2 linked regions of the Pelodiscus sinensis genome follow. The protein of the gene in region 1 interacts with the protein of each later gene in a pairwise test. Links are inferred from orthologs where the notes say so. Each region holds a gene or a part of one and is shown on either strand. Other genes may lie near its edges.

Region 1 (7,001 bases):
GCCACAAGGGCTGGTCGTCCTCCGCTCTGCCTAAGGCACAAATGGGAGAGCTACAGCAGGGGTCTCAAACAATTCATCTCAGGGCCATTTCTCAGGTTCTCGTGGGCCACCTCCCCCCAACTCCGGCAATGGCTCTGGGAGGCGGGGAGGATGTCCCACACACACCTGTCTCCCAGCCCTGCCTGCCAGCCTGCGCTCTTCCCGCACCCCGCGTGTCCCCCAGCCCTGTCTGTGCCCCCTTCTCCCCCAGCACTGGCAGTCCATGGGGCTAGAGACAGTTCTTGCTGCGAGCTCCGTGTCGCTCCTGGCACGTGGGGGATGCAGGGGACGCAGAGCTGCCCCACCCATGGGATGGCTCAGCGTGGCCGGCTCAGGCCCCACAGTGGCCACACCCCACCCCACCCGGCTGCCCCACCCAACCTGGGGACAGGATGGGTCCCATACACAGGTTAGCCCGGGAGGCTGCTGCATCACTCCACTTCCCCACGGCTCCCACCACCGCAGTGTGGGGGAGCAGGGGCTGACCCCAGCTGTCCCCCTGCCAGGCCACCAGAGGCTGCGTCTGATGGGGGAGGAGTTTGCGGAAAGGGATGCTATTGGGGGAGGGAGAGGGCACAGCAGGGGTGGGAAGAGGGTGGGGGTGGAGCAGGGGCTGGACTTGGGGGAGGGTACAGACAGCCCTTCAGGGCTGCAAGGATTCCTGTGCCGGCAGCCGGACTGGGGCGGTGGGTGGCCCTCCAGGGACACCGGCACTGGCCATAGCGCAGTTTCATGGCAAGTCCCGGTCTGACGGCAAAGCACACGCTGCTGCGAGCCCGGCGGGTGTCTCTCTGGGCAGAGCTGTCAGACCAGAGCCCCCCGACGGCTGCGTCCCACCCACAGAGAACCCCACAAAACCAGCTGTGTGCTGCATCAGGGCCCTCCCCGCGACACTGACAGAGGGGCCCAGACTCCAGTGGCACCGAGATCAAATGGGATCCTCCTCTCCTGCGACTGAGGCCTACTCCTGCCGGCGGACCCCAGGCCGGACTCCCGGGACCTGCAGCTGGAGTGCTGGGAAACCGAGCAGGGAAGGTGGAAGACACAAGACCCTGCTTGACTCAGCCGTGTAGCTTTACTTGTTGCCCTTCCTGCGGGCTGGCCTGAACCTCCCCTGCAGAGTGCGGCCAGTTCCCAGCGGGTGCAAAGGAGGGCAGCTTTCCAAGTTACGCCGGGGAAGAATCTGGCCTCTGGCACGTTCTGAAACTAGCGTAGGAGGCAGGGACGTGAGCCAGACGCCTAGCTTCCACTGAAGCGTGGATCTGAGCCAGGGGCCCTGCCCCCTGGATCTGTCCAGCCTGGTGTTAAACACCCCAGAGAGGCAGGAGGTGGCTCTCTTCCCACCCACGTCCTTAGGAAACAGCTGATCTGATAGCAAAGACTGGCCCAGCCCAGCTCATGTCACGCTGTCGTCAGCCAGCCACGGTCCGACCCGCGACGGCTCTGTGTGTGTGTGTGTGGGGGGGGGGGGATTGCTCAAGTCAGGATTAGTCAGAGCCAACTAGACGGTGTTCCGGAGCCCTGGCCGTCTGTTTCCCCACTGGCAGGGCTGCGGGTTGCAAAGGCAGGCAGGGAAACAGAGCTTAGCTCCGAGAACACGACCCCCCGAGATCAGGCTTGCCGGGAACGGTGGAGTCAATGCCAGGATTCTACGTGCAGGATCTCAAAACAGGAGCACATGCCAGAGGCCAGCCGCAGTCAAGAGAAATAGCATCACCTTGGGTCTGGGGGCCCCCCACTCCGCCCTGCCTCGGCACCTGCCCCAGTGCCCAGGAGTTCAGAGGTAGCGAGACAGGCAGTGCCGGGCATATGGAAACTAGCCCCCAACCTCAGCTGGGCAAATGTCATGGCCTTCCCCAGCCCAGAAACTTTGGGACCCAGCCAGGGTGCAGTCAAGTCAGTGACCGGGTGACTCCCGAGGGAGCAGAACCGGGTGACTCCCCAGCGGATGGAAAATGTAGCGGAACCCCCCCACTCCCACCGCGTCCTAGCATCTCTCCGCCCGATTCGGACGCGCCAGGACGGCCACAAAGCGAAGCAGATCCCAGAGCGATTTCCCAACACGGGGAGCAGCGCTCCCTTCCCACGAGCCCCCAGGCTCCACAGCAACGTCGCCCTCTGGGGCAAAGGGGTGTGGAAATCGTCAGAGCCCAGCTGGACTCCATGGGCCTTGGACAATTTGCATTAGCGGGGAACCTGTCTCCAGAGGTGTCAGTGCCCAGGGCCCACGGCGGGGCCCCGAGGCTCTCAGCAGCCGGTGTGCACCCCAGGCGATGCCCCCTTTGGAAAAACTGGCCCCCATCCTGTTGTGAAGTGGGTACCTGGGGGTCACCCTGGTCCCAGTGGAAATGCTGCTGCCAGGGATCAGAACCTGGGCCTATCATGTGCTCAGTTACAACAAGCGAAAGCCCAATTTAAAAAATCAACAGCCGGTGTCCCCTCCCGCCCCTGCCACCCACCCCCTGGCCAAACAGCACAGGGCGGAGCAGCCCAGCAAGGAGGACCAGCCTCTCCCAGAGTCGAATGCAGACCTGGGATGATTTCGATGGGGCTGGTCCTGCTATGGGCGGGGGGCTGGACTCGAGGACTCCTGAGGCCCCTTCCAGCCCTGGGATACTACGACTAACTGGGCTGACTTGGAGCCCATCACACGCCCCAGGATTTGATTCCCAACCCTGCGGACGCCAAACACCCCAAAGAAGGGGAAGTGGAGTGGGGGAAGCAGGGTGACACTTCACACATCCCACCCACAGCCATGCAGAAGGGGCATCCCTCCTTACCTGTGGGACAGCTCCGGAGCAGGTGTCTTCTCCTGCACGCTCTACCTGCCTCTCCCACGGGCCGGTGACTTTATAAGAGCAGGTGCTGCCTGTCTGGGCGGGGCCTCGCCCTATCAGCTGACCTGGCCGTCAGCAGATTGGAATTCGGCAGCCCAGGGAACAGGCAGGTGCCGGAGAGAGAGAGGAAGTCTTCCTCCATCCAGGCTCAATGTTGGCGAAAGGTGCTAGGATCAGGGGTTTTTTTGTGACGGTACTGCCCAGGACACTGTACTGGAACCTCCAGTCAGCGCTTACCTGGAAAGAACAGAGCATAAGCATACCAGCACCTCTCTACAGGCAAATGTTCGACAGTCGGCTGGGCCGTGTGTCTTAAAGGGGCTGCTTGTCTTAAAAGGGCAAGGCCGGCCCCACCCCATCTTTTTTTTTTGCTCAACAACTGGAGTACTGGCACTTTTTTTTTTTAAACAAAATAAGCACTGGCTAGGATCACCCATGCCCAAAGTCTGTGAAGCAGGGCATCTGCGCCTCAGGCTGCTCTGCGCAGGCATCTGGAGTCCCCGCCTCTTGGGGGCATCGTTTCCACCATCGCTCCTAGCATGCGGGTCACTGGCCCGAAAATGGCCCAGGGGCTCAGGGTGTAGATGGGAGGCAGGTTCTAAACTGGAGAACGGCTTCCCTGAGCTCGGGGTGGGGAACCTAAGGCTAGGAGCTGGATCCAGCCCTCGACTTGTCTGGAGCCAGCTCTCCCGGCACCCTTGCAGCATTGGGGAGCCGGTGCTGGCACTCCAGCCCTGCAGCCTCGTTGCCCCGAGCCTCGCTGGAGTCAGGCAAGCCTGGAGCTGGGTCCAGCCCTCAGACTCTGCCTGGCAGGGGGAGGAAGTGGCTCCAAGCGCTGCCCCTCCCCCTCCCCTGGGCTGGGGAAATGGCAGCACAGACCACCCCCCCTCCCAATGCCCAGCCTGCTCCTGCACCCTCCTCCCCCCCCACATCCTCAGCCCCCACTCTGCTCCTGCCCCCCACCTTCCCTGCTCAGCCTGCTCCTGCACCTTCCCACTCAGGCACCACACTCCACATGCGCTTCCCAGCAGCCCCCCCCACACACACACACATTGAACCCCTCCCTGTTTTGGCCCCCACCCCAGAGCCTATGGGGGGGCACAAAAATCTACTAGCCTGCCCCCCTGCCAGCTGTGTGTGAGGGGAGCGTGAGGAGGGTCTTTCAGTTGCAGGTGAGGGGTTTTTCCTTCTCACTTGTGTGCAGCCCCTGACTGATTTTCCTGTGGAACAGAGGCCTCCCACCCCAAAAAATCCCCCCCCCGTCCTATCTGCAAGGTCAACATCAAGCACAGGGGCAGCGCGGCCTAGCGGGTGAGGATACAGAGCAGGGACCAGGGCTGACTCCCGGCTCTGCTCTCTGCCTTGTGGCCTTGAGTATGTCACCTCCCAGCTGCAGGCTGGGGTCGCTGCTCCTGCCCATCGTTCCCTCGCCTCAGCCCAGTCCGCTACGAATCCCTCCCGCCGCCGTGTGACCCTCTGGGACAAATTCAAAGCTGCTGCGAGGCCTTGGTCCTCCCTGAGAGCCTGGTTGCCGCTGGCAACCGCTGCCCGGCGTTGGCTAGCACATCGCACAGCCTGGGCCCCAGCGGCAACCAGACCCACAAGCTTGGCCAGCATGGCGATCGGAGCCTCCGCCCCCCGGATGAGAGGAGAGCTCATGTGGCGCTTGGTCCAGGGGTGCAGGATACGGACACAGCCAGGGGCTGTTAATACTGGCACTGCCTGGGCCGCTGAAGGGGAGACCGGCCCGGCCAATTCCATTGGCTTGAAAGGGCCCCGTCTGCAGCCAGGGGCCAGGTGACCCTGGAGACCCCATGACGACAGGGTGTTTGCAATGCTCAGTGCTGCATGGCCACGGTGAGGGGCTGCGAGTCACCGTGTTACGCCAGCTGATGGGAGCCTTGCTTGGGCTTGGCGGGGTGCAGGCTGGCCAAGGGGGGGGGCGAGGGGGGCGGCAATTCAAAGGGGCCCAGGGTTCTTGGTTAAGTCATTGGCACAATGTGGATGGGGCGGGGACTGCAGCGAGCTGGCTGCCTCAGCCCCGCCCCTTCCACCTGAGGCCCCGCCCCTTTCTGGGAGAGCCGAGCCCTCCACCTTATTTAGGGGCCCATGGCGGCTGTCAGCCCCGCTGGCTGGGTGGCAGAACCTGCCGCCAGCAGCCTGTCAGCCAACCACCTCTTCTGGGCCATCCCAGGCTCGCCTTGCAGATCAACAATTTGCACCCGGAGTCCCTTTGCCGCGTCTCCCTGGGACATCCCAGCCCCTCACCCTGGCCACGCCCAGAAATCCCAGCTCCTCTGCCTCCAAAGGGCCTGAGCACCCAGCGTCTGCCTGAGATCCCAGTCCCTGTGCGGAGCCCTGGGGAGCCCTTGCAATGACACCCCCGGGGGCTGCGTTATGGGAAGAGAAACCTTCAACCAAAACTAAGAGGCTGGTGCACGCCACTGGCTACGATTCAAAAGAACAGACCAGCCTGGCCTGACGCTCCTGGGACCCCTTTCCTAGCTAACAAGGCAGGTGCCCCCCAATACCGTTTGCTGCTGAGCAGCCTGGCTTCCCAGGAGCCAGCGCCCAAAAGCTCAAGAAAACTGCCCTGCCCCCCAACGGGCTCCTGAGTGAAAGGAGACAGGGAGCCCGTCCTCCGCTGGCTTACGCTGACACGCCCGCGGCTTGTTGTGTTTCCTTTATCACCTGCCCCCTGGCTTTGCGTGTTTGCCATTGCCACAGATGGGGTTTTGCCAACATATTGCGCAAGGCCACACAAAGGTGAGACCAACACCCTACCCGAATGGGCCGGCGCGGAGACACGTCGTCCCCAGGGACTCTCTGCTACCCCCAGACAGCACAGTCTCAATAGAACGACAGGCCTGGCAGAACCTCTGAAAACCGGGATGCTCTGGTCTGGCAACTCCCTGGCAGGACCCCACAGCTGTTCCTAGGCCAGGCAGCCCCAATGGAGGGGACTCAGCCAGCGGGAGGGACTGGCCGGGAGCCAGGCCGCAGGGCAGCGGGGCAGGTGGTGGCAGCCATGGGGCAGGTTTGGCAGCAGCTGTGGGGCAGCCTGGACTGGAGCCGGTGGCAGTCCCGGGCCAGCAGCCACTAGCAGCCTGAGCAGGTCATTGGCCAGGAACCCAGCAGGGCGGGATCGGCCAGTTCAGGGCAGGATCGGCCAGTTCAGGGCGTGGCGGAGGCGGCAGGTTGGCAGCTGGGCCAGAATTGACCTCTCTTGGCCCGGCAAAATCCCTCCTCCGGGACCAGCCAGGTGCCGAGGGTGCTGGAGCAGGGAGTCCGACCTGCAGCCCCTCAGTCTTATCCGCGCACGCGACCTGCAGCCCTTTCTGCAGTGACTCCCTGGCTGACTAGCCAGCCAGACGTGCTCGGGGCTGAGCTGAGAGTTGTTTGCAAAGCTTAGGGGATCCTTGGGCACAGGGTCGGTCTGACACCCTGACACTGATGCAGCAGGACAGGATAGTGGTTAGGCTACAAGCGCAGGCCTGGGCTCGCTTTTCCGGCCAGGGAGTCTCCTACCCTGTTTTCTTTCCATTTGCAGGACACAGGCGCCTGCTGTTCCTGCTAAGCTCCAGTGCATCGCCGCAAATGGGTTCCTTGGGGCTGGACGGGGGGGGGGGGGGGGGGGGGGAGGGGCGGGAGGCAGGATCTGACAACACCCACGCTTGACTGTGGAACAGCTACCGGCTTCACGGTTTGCCTGCCCCTTGGTACTGGCGTTCCCTAACAGAGTAGCTTTGTACAGTCGCGGGTGGGGGCGGAGGGTGCAAGAATGTAGCGAGGTCTTTCTTGTGGCTCTGTGCATTGTCCCTGGCACTGAACACAACTGTGTCCAGCTCCCTGTCAGTGGCACATCCCAAAAGTTAATTAAGCCTCGCCACCCCCGGGGAAGGCAGCACGACTAAACCCATTCTACAGGTGGCAAAACTGAGCCGCCGCCGGCTGCACAGACATCCGCGGCCGAGTTAAGAACAGGGCCCAGGAGTCTGCATGATGCTCCAGCCTGGCTCTGGAGATGGGGATGGGCATCTGGGTCTGATACCACCAGGTGAGCGGTCACAGGCCTTCCCCGCAGCAGCCCGCGTCGCAGCCAAAGTACAGATTCCACGAGCCCTT
Region 2 (7,794 bases), on another chromosome or scaffold:
TTCTATAGCCCCAGCCAACCTGCCTCCCACGGCGCTAGGGCGACCGGCTGCAGCCGCCAGGGTGGCCCGGGAGCCCTCGGGGAGAGAGTTACGCAAACTCCCGGCAAGCGGACGGAGGCGGAGTGACGGCCTGGTGCAGCTAGGAGAGCAGCCTTTTCACCGTGAGAGCCCCGGCCCTTGGGGGGATCCCTGCGGCCTGGGCAGCTAATCCTGTTTCACTCCACAGCCGGGGGCCGCTCCTCAGAGGGTCACGGGAAAAGACCAGCTCAGGAGCGGGAATCTTCCCCCTTGCACTCTGCAGCGTCCTGCCGAATCTGCCCCCAGCCCCCTTCCCAGGGAGCAGCCACGCCGCGCCGGGCGAGCGCCAAACCTGCCGCTTTGGAGGGGCCCTGCTGGGGCAGAGAGCAGGCGAGCGTCAGAGGGGAGGCCAGAGGAGCAGCGGAGAACCCCGCCAGCGCGCCCAGCACCCCTCACCTGCGTTGGGATCCCACATGCTCAGAGAGGAGGCGTCTCCGGTCACCTGGAGGGGGAGAGAGGCTGTGAGGCAAAGCGGGGGTCAGCCAGGCCTCGGGCAGGGGGGGGCCCTAAAGGAGATCAGGGCCCACCCTTGAGGCTGCTGCCTGCCTAGACCCGGGCGCCCCGCTGGCAACACAGCCTGGGGGTCCAGCCCTGGCAACAAAGGGCGGAAGGGGAGTCCGGAGAGGGGCAGCGATTTGCCCCAGGTCCCCTGGCAGGGGTCTGCTAGCGCAGCGCTCAGCCACCGGCCCCACGGCCGCCACGGGGGGGTCAGGGCCCTGGTCCCCTCCCGCCCCGCGGGCCCCAGGCACAGGGGCGACCGGCAGGAGGCAGCAGCTGCCGCTTTCTCCCCTGGAGCCCCAGCCCCGGGTCGGACAACGTGGCCTGGGGGCTCGGAGCCGGCGGAAGTTCAGTGTCAGCCCCCCCCCGCCCCCCCCAGCAGGGGCAGTTCAGTGTCAGCCCCCCCCCGCCCCCCCCAGCAGGGGCAGTTCAGTGTCAGCCCCCCCCGCCCCCCCGAGCAGGGGCAGTTCGGTGTCAGCCCCCCCCGCCCCCCAGCAGGGGCAGTTCGGTGTCAGCCCCCCCCCGCCCCCCCGAGCAGGGGCAGTTCGGTGTCAGCCCCCCCCGCCCCCCCGAGCAGGGGCAGTTCGGTGTCAGCCCCCCCCGCCCCCCCGAGCAGGGGCAGTTCGGTGTCAGCCCCCCCCCGCCCCCCCGAGCAGGGGCAGTTCGGTGTCAGCCCCCCCCCGCCCCCCAGCAGGGGCAGTTCGGTGTCAGCCCCCCCCCGCCCCCCCAGCAGGGGCAGTTCGGTGTCAGCCCCCCCCCGCCCCCCCCGAGCAGGGGCAGTTCGGTGTCAGCCCCCCCCGCCCCCCCCAGCAGGGGCAGTTCGGTGTCAGCCCCCCCCCGCCCCCCCCAGCAGGGGCAGTTCGGTGTCAGCCCCCCCCCGCCCCCCAGCAGGGGCAGTTCAGTGTCAGCCCCCCCCCCCGCCCCCCAGCAGGGGCAGTTCAGTGTCAGCCCCCCCCCGCCCCCCAGCAGGGGCAGTTCAGTGTCAGCTCCCCTCCACCCCCCCGAGCAGGGGCAGTTCAGTGTCAGCTCCCCCCGCCCCCCGCAGCAGGGGCAGTTCAGTGTCAGCCCCCCCCCGCCCCCCCCAGCAGGGGCAGTTCAGTGTCAGCCCCCCCCGCCCCCCGAGCAGGGGCAGTTCAGTGTCAGCCCCCCCCGCCCCCCCCAGCAGGGGCAGTTCAGTGTCAGCCCCCCGCCGCCCCCCCCCAGCAGGGGCAGTTCAGTGTCAGCCCCCCCCCAGCAGGGGCAGTTCAGTGTCAGCCCCCCCCGCCGCCCCCCCGAGCAGGGGCAGTTCGGTGTCAGCCCCCCCCCGCCATCCCCCAGCAGGGGCAGTTCAGTGTCAGCCCCCCCCGCCCCCCCAGCAGGGGCAGTTCAGTGTCAGCCCCGCCCGCCCCCCGAGCAGGGGCAGTTCAGTGTCAGGCCCCCCCAAGCAGGGGCAGTTCGGTGTCAGCCCCCCCCCCCAGCAGGGGCAGTTCAGTGTCAGCCCCCCCCCGAGCAGGGGCAGTTCGGTGTCAGCCCCCCCGGGCCGGGGGGGGTCCATTCAGGGGACAGCGCTTTGCAATTCCCCCCCCCGTTCCCAGCCCCCGCCCTCTGCACAGGAGCCGCCCCGAGCCAAGCGGAACCGGCCGCCCCGCCCGCGCAGGGTCCAAGGGCAGGCGGAGCGCCCCGCCCGTGGCGCTCTGCAAGCGGGGCCGGGGCTCAGCAACGCGGTGCGCACCCACAGCCCGGGGGGGCCACGCCGGAGCCGAACCGATCTAGCCGCCTACAGCAGAGGAGAGTCGGCTCTGGGGCGCAGGAGTTAGGGGGGGGGGAAGGGCTGGATGGGTCCTGACTGGCAGGGCAGGGGATACGCGTACACACAGGGACGGGCGGGGGGGGAGGGGGGACACAGGGGGGAGGGGACGGGGGGGTGCAGGGGGACAGAGGGGGGAGGGGGAGGGGACGGGGGGTGCAGGGGGGCACGGTGCAGGGGGCACAGAGGGGGGAGGGGACGGGAGGTGCAGGGGGACACAGGGGGGGAGGGGACGGGGGGTGCAGGGGGGCACGGTGCAGGGGGCACAGAGGGGGGAGGGGACGGGAGGTGCAGGGGGACACAGGGGGGAGGGGACGGGGGGGTGCAGGGAGACACGGGGGGGAGGGGACGGGGGGGTGCAGGGGGCACAGAGGGGGGAGGGGACGGGGGGTGCAGGGGGGCACGGTGCAGGGGGCACAGAGGGGGGAGGGGACGGGGGGTGCAGGGGGCACAGAGGGGGGAGGGGGGGTGCAGGGGGGCACGGGGGGGGGACGGGAGGTGCAGGGGGGCACGGGGGGAAGGGGACGGGAGGTGCAGGGGGGCACAGTGGGGGGGGGACACACAGACACCCGCCCCCCCTCACTCACCTCGACTCGGCACCGCGCTGCCCAGCTGAGCCCCGCCGGCTTCCTGGAGCGCGGTGGCCCCGCCCCCCGTGACTGTCCGTCACCGCCCGGTGGCCCCGCCCCCCGCGGGCAGGCAGCGGGAGGGGGCGGGGCCAGGCCCGGACTCCTGGGTTCTACCCCGAGGGGTGGGGGGGCGGCAGGGCAGCGCGCCCTAGCGGTTAGCGATGGGCTCGGGCCTCAGGCTGCTGGAGTCTCCCGGGGGTCGCCTGGCCCGGCCTCGGGGGCGCGGGGCAAACTCCGGGAGCAGCAGCCGCAGCGTCTGAGGGGTTTGCGGGTGGCTGTGCCTCAGTTTCCCCGCCAGGGGTACCATCGCCCCTCCACCGTGGGAGCAGGGCACGGCAGGGCGGGGGGCGGACGACGCTCGGGAGGTTCACCCGCTAATGCTGGAGAGGTGCCTCAGAGAGGAGGTGGCGAAGAAATATTCGGGCTCCCGTCTCACACTGGAAATCCACCCTGCGCAGGAGGAAGGGTGGGCCACCAGCCTGAAGATCTGGAGCACAGTCTTGCCTCCGCCACGTTCGTCCCGGGTGACCTGGGGCAAGCCATAGAGTCCGCCCTGGGCCTCAGTTTCCCCACCCATAAATGAGGCTCATGTCCCACGGGGCGGGAGGATAAAACCTGCTGACGTGTCCGGCGCCCAGATGGGAAGCGGTGACAACAGGGGTGGGGCAGAGACCTCCCCCCGCTAGCCCTCACCTTTGTGCTCTTCATCAGCCCATGAAGCTGCCCAGAGGCTCTGCGAGGTGCAGGAGCGAATCGGTGGGAGACAAAGCTTAGGGGGCACCCCTCTGGGACAGCCCTGCCCCCAACACACACTGGCACCAGGGCCTGGCCTGGAGAGATTCGTCAGTATCGAGCCGTGGGTGTGTCCCAAGGGCACAGGCCGGTCCTGGAACGCAGCCCAGTCACACAGCTCTGACGCCGCTGCGGGAAAGCCAGGCTCACCTGGCAGCCGCACCCAGGGCCTTAAGGAGCCTGCTCTGCCCAGGATATTGGGCAGCGGGGCGCTGGGCCTACGGGGGGGGGGAGGGATGTGGAGGAATCTCTGGGGAAAACTGGAAAAGTTTTAGTCATTGGGCTGTTTGCAGGCTGGCTGGAGCAGATGACTGGGCGGCAGGACTCCTGGGTTCTCTCCCTGGCCCACGAAGGGGAGTGGGCCCTAGTGGGCAGGGGAGGGCAGGACCCAGCTGTAATGGCTGTGTTATAGACACAGACTGACCCTGAGGTTTCTGAGACGGGACCGCTGTAAACCCTGGCCTGGAAGGGACGCTGAGCTCCCTAGGGGCTCTGGCTCCCGCTGGTAAGAGGTTCGCAGTGCTGGAGAAATTACGGGCTGGATTCCTGTGGGGCTGAGCTCTGGAAAGCAGCCCTGAGTCCTGCGCCCCCCACTCTCCACCCCCCACAGTCCTGACGCTCCGCCCGGCTGCAGGGACCAGCCTCCTGGACGCTGTGGGGGGACCGGCCTTCTGGACAGAGACTCCGGAGCTGGGGCTGGCTGTGCAGCCAAGGGACGGCTGGAGGGGGGATTTCAGGCTGAGGCTCGGGGCCGATAGGGCAGGCGAGGGCCTAACAGGGGCCTGCGTCGTGGGGGGCTCCTCACCAGGGGCAGAGTTAACGTGAGGGGACGATTTCCTAACGGCCCCGCTGCTCCAGGTGGGAGGTAACTCAGGGCCGTGCCGGCCGGTGGTGGGCAGGCAGCTGAGACGATCACAGGTGGGCCTTTGGGCCTGAGAAACTAGGCAAGAGGACCCCAAACTGCAAGGCAACCCGCCCGGGGAACTAAGGGGGAGGTAGCAGAGCCCAGAGCTAGCCCTGCGACGTGCGAGGGCCCCAGCGGATCCTCAGGAGTCACCCCGGAGTGGGGGGGAAGGGGGAGAGTGACACCCAGTCCCTACTGACTCCGCCTCTAGTCCTGCCTCCACCCCCTCTGTCTCTGCCGCCACTTGACCCCTGATCCCCCCAGCTCAGTCCTGGCCCCAGCACTGAGGAGGCGCAGACAAGGCTAAAGGGGGCAACACCGATCTATGCGCATCCTGCGGCAGTGGATCAGACGGGCTCCAGGCCCCACATCCCCTGACACCAGGGGAGCCCGCGGGCCCGTCTTAGCTCGCCCGTCAACTTCAAAAAGATCTCACCAAACTAAGTGACTGGGCAACACAATGGCAAATGAAATTTAATGTGGAGAAATGTAAAGTAATGCACACTGGAAAAAATAACCCCAATATATAATACAATATGATGGGGGCTAATTTGGCTACAACTAATCAGGAAAGAGATCTTGGAGTCATCGTGGACAGTTCTTTGAAGACGTCCACGCAGTGAGCAGCGGCAGTCAAAAAAGCAAACAGGGTGTTAGGAATCATTTAAAAAGGGATAGAGAATAAGACGGAGAATATCTTATGGCCCTATATAAATCCATGGGACGCCCACATCTTGAATACTGTGTACAGATGTGGTCTCCTCACCTCAAAAAAGATAGACTGGCATTAGAAAAGGTTCAGAGAAGGGCAACTAAAATGATGAGGGGTTTGGAACGGGTCTCATAGGAGGAGAGATTAAAGAGACTGGGACTTTTCAGCTTGGAAAAGAGGAGACTAAGAGGAGGTAGGATCGAGGTCTATAAAATCCTGAGTGGTGTGGAGAAAGTGAATAAGGAAAAGTTATTTACTTGTTCCCATCACATAAGAACTAGGGGCCACCAAATGAAACTAATGGGCAGCAGGTTTAAAACAAATACAAGGAAGTTCTTCTTCACACAGTGCATTGTCAACCTGTGGAACTCCCTGCCTGAGGAGGTTGTGAAGGCCAGGACTAAACAGGGTTTAAAAGAGAACTAGATACATTCATGGATGTTAGGTCCATTAATGGCTACTAGCCAGGCTGGGTAAGGAATGGTGTCGCTAGGCTCTGTGTGTCAGAGGGTGGAGATGGATGGCAGGAGAGAGGTCGCTTGATCATTGCCTGTTCGGTTCACTCCCTCTGGGGCACCTGGCATTGGCCACTGGGGGCAGACAGGACACGGGGCTGGATGGACCTTTGGTCTGACCCCGTCTGGCCGCTCTCATGTTCTTAGTAGACTAGGCTTCAGGCTCAGCTGCATGGCGGCAAGGGGCTTTGCTGCTCGGTGCCTCAGTTTCCCTTCCCACCCAGTGGCCATCACTGCAAGCACTTTGGGGCTCAGGGAGCAGTCAGTCCCGCTTCCTGAGTGTCAACCCCACAGCCCAGAGCCAGGAAGATCAGGAGCCTGGCCAAAGCACCATACTGTGGTACGGGAGTGGCTGCCTCCCAGGGCCCAAGGGAGCGGCGTGTAAGTGAGAGCCACCCTGAGGCCTGGACCCGGAAGACAGGACACGATTCAATGAAGATAAGAGCCGACCACACAGAAATCTGTGGCTAAGCCGCACGGGGGCTCGACCCTTTGATGTGGGGCACACGCCCACGGCCATAGCTTCTGGCCAGGTGGCCTGCAGGCCGGCTCACTGGCCGGATGGGCACCCGGGGGATGGAGAAGAGTCGTGTCAGCTCCACTAGGGGGCAGCCTGCTCAGGCAGCGCCGATCCCATCCAGCAGGGGTGATGGGGGGGGGGTCTGGACAACAGGAGCCGGGCGTGGAGCAGCCGGGGGCACTTCGCTGTCCCTGCCCCCCACGTCCCTCTTCCTCCGTCAGCACCAGCCCAGGGACCGTTCCCAGGCACCGTGTCCCGGGGGCAGCACCTTGGCCAGCTCAGCGCCCCCTGCTGACCACTCAGCCCCCAGGCTCTGGAGCCGCTGGCGGGTGCACTCTGCCGTCAGCCGGGCCTCGGGATCGGGGTCCCAGCAGTCCTCCAGCAGCTCCCGCAGGCCGACGGAGACCTGGGGCAGGAGAGGAGAGCAGAGGGGGTCTCTCAGGGCCTGGGCAGGCCTGGCTGGTGGAGTCGCCCGCAAGGTAACCTCCCACAGCAGAGACAAGACCCCCCCCACCCGTGGCCTGAGGGCAGGACTGGAAAGCCGGGGGCGGGTCACCAAAGGGTCTTGAGCTGGGGGAGTGACGCTACAGAGACGTATTGGGCGCCGGCCCTTTAAATGGGCAGCGTCCTCCCTCCCTCATCCCTGCCCACTCGTGTCCCCCTCCCCGTCCCCATTGTCCCTGCCCCCCCCAAGCCCCAGCACCTGGCCTGCCCGCCTCCAGGCGTCGGGGATGGCTGGCCGCCTCCTCTCCTCCACTGCCAGGCGCCGCAGCTCGTCATACGTGGGGCTGCTGCCCAGCTCCGCCTCGTAGGCCAGCTGGAAGGGGGGGGCCCCGCAGTCTGGGGGAGGAGAAAATGGGGCACATGGGGTGAAATGGCTCCTGCCAGCCCTGCCCCACGACGCCCTGGGTACTAGCCCCTGGCTCAGTGTGAGTGCGTCACCCTCAAGCGACCAGCCAGCAGAGCGGATAAAAGCCCAACTACTGCTGCCAGCTAATAGGGATTCTCCTTAGAGCCAAAGGCCCTGGTTCTCGGCATGCACTGGCCACACTGAGGGGCCGTCCTGGGGAGGCAGGGGGGCCCCTGGAGAGTCTCCCCCCCCCGCTGTTGGTGCGGGGCTGGCGTGAGGTCTCTGCTCCCTGCCTCCCAGGGCTCAGGGGAGCAGGGAGTGAGTCAGAGCAGCCCCAAGGCTGCACCAGCGCTGGGGGGGGGACTGGGCCCAGACTGCAGGGAGCACAGGCCTGTCCCGAGCAGGAAGGGGGTCAATGAGAATCAGGGCCCTGTATCCGGAGTGCAGGGATGTGCAGCCCCCTCCCCCCCCCGCAGAGAGAGGAGAGAGATTTCTTCAAACCTCCACCAG

What was found. The genes of interacting proteins can lie anywhere in the genome.
Region 2: the proteins of SDCBP2 (region 1) and PRR13 interact in binary tests that used the Homo sapiens proteins (3 or more experiments, as listed by UniProt). The two-hybrid records come from large-scale screens. The link is inferred for Pelodiscus sinensis from reciprocal best matches to the Homo sapiens genes SDCBP2 and PRR13.

The regions. Positions count from the first base shown.
Region 1 is NC_134728.1:2,655,361-2,662,361, forward strand, and holds the start of SDCBP2 (syntenin-2), read right to left. Parts: upstream 3,056-7,001; 5' UTR 2,820-3,055; intron 1-2,819.
Region 2 is NC_134729.1:335,802-343,595, reverse strand, and holds the start of PRR13 (proline-rich protein 13), read right to left. Parts: upstream 3,063-7,794; 5' UTR 2,950-3,062; intron 521-2,949; 5' UTR 494-520; coding exon 475-493; intron 1-474. Other genes in the region: AMHR2 (anti-Muellerian hormone type-2 receptor), read right to left, coding at 6,652-6,840, 7,138-7,274. UniProt on the Homo sapiens protein: Negatively regulates TSP1 expression at the level of transcription. This down-regulation was shown to reduce taxane-induced apoptosis.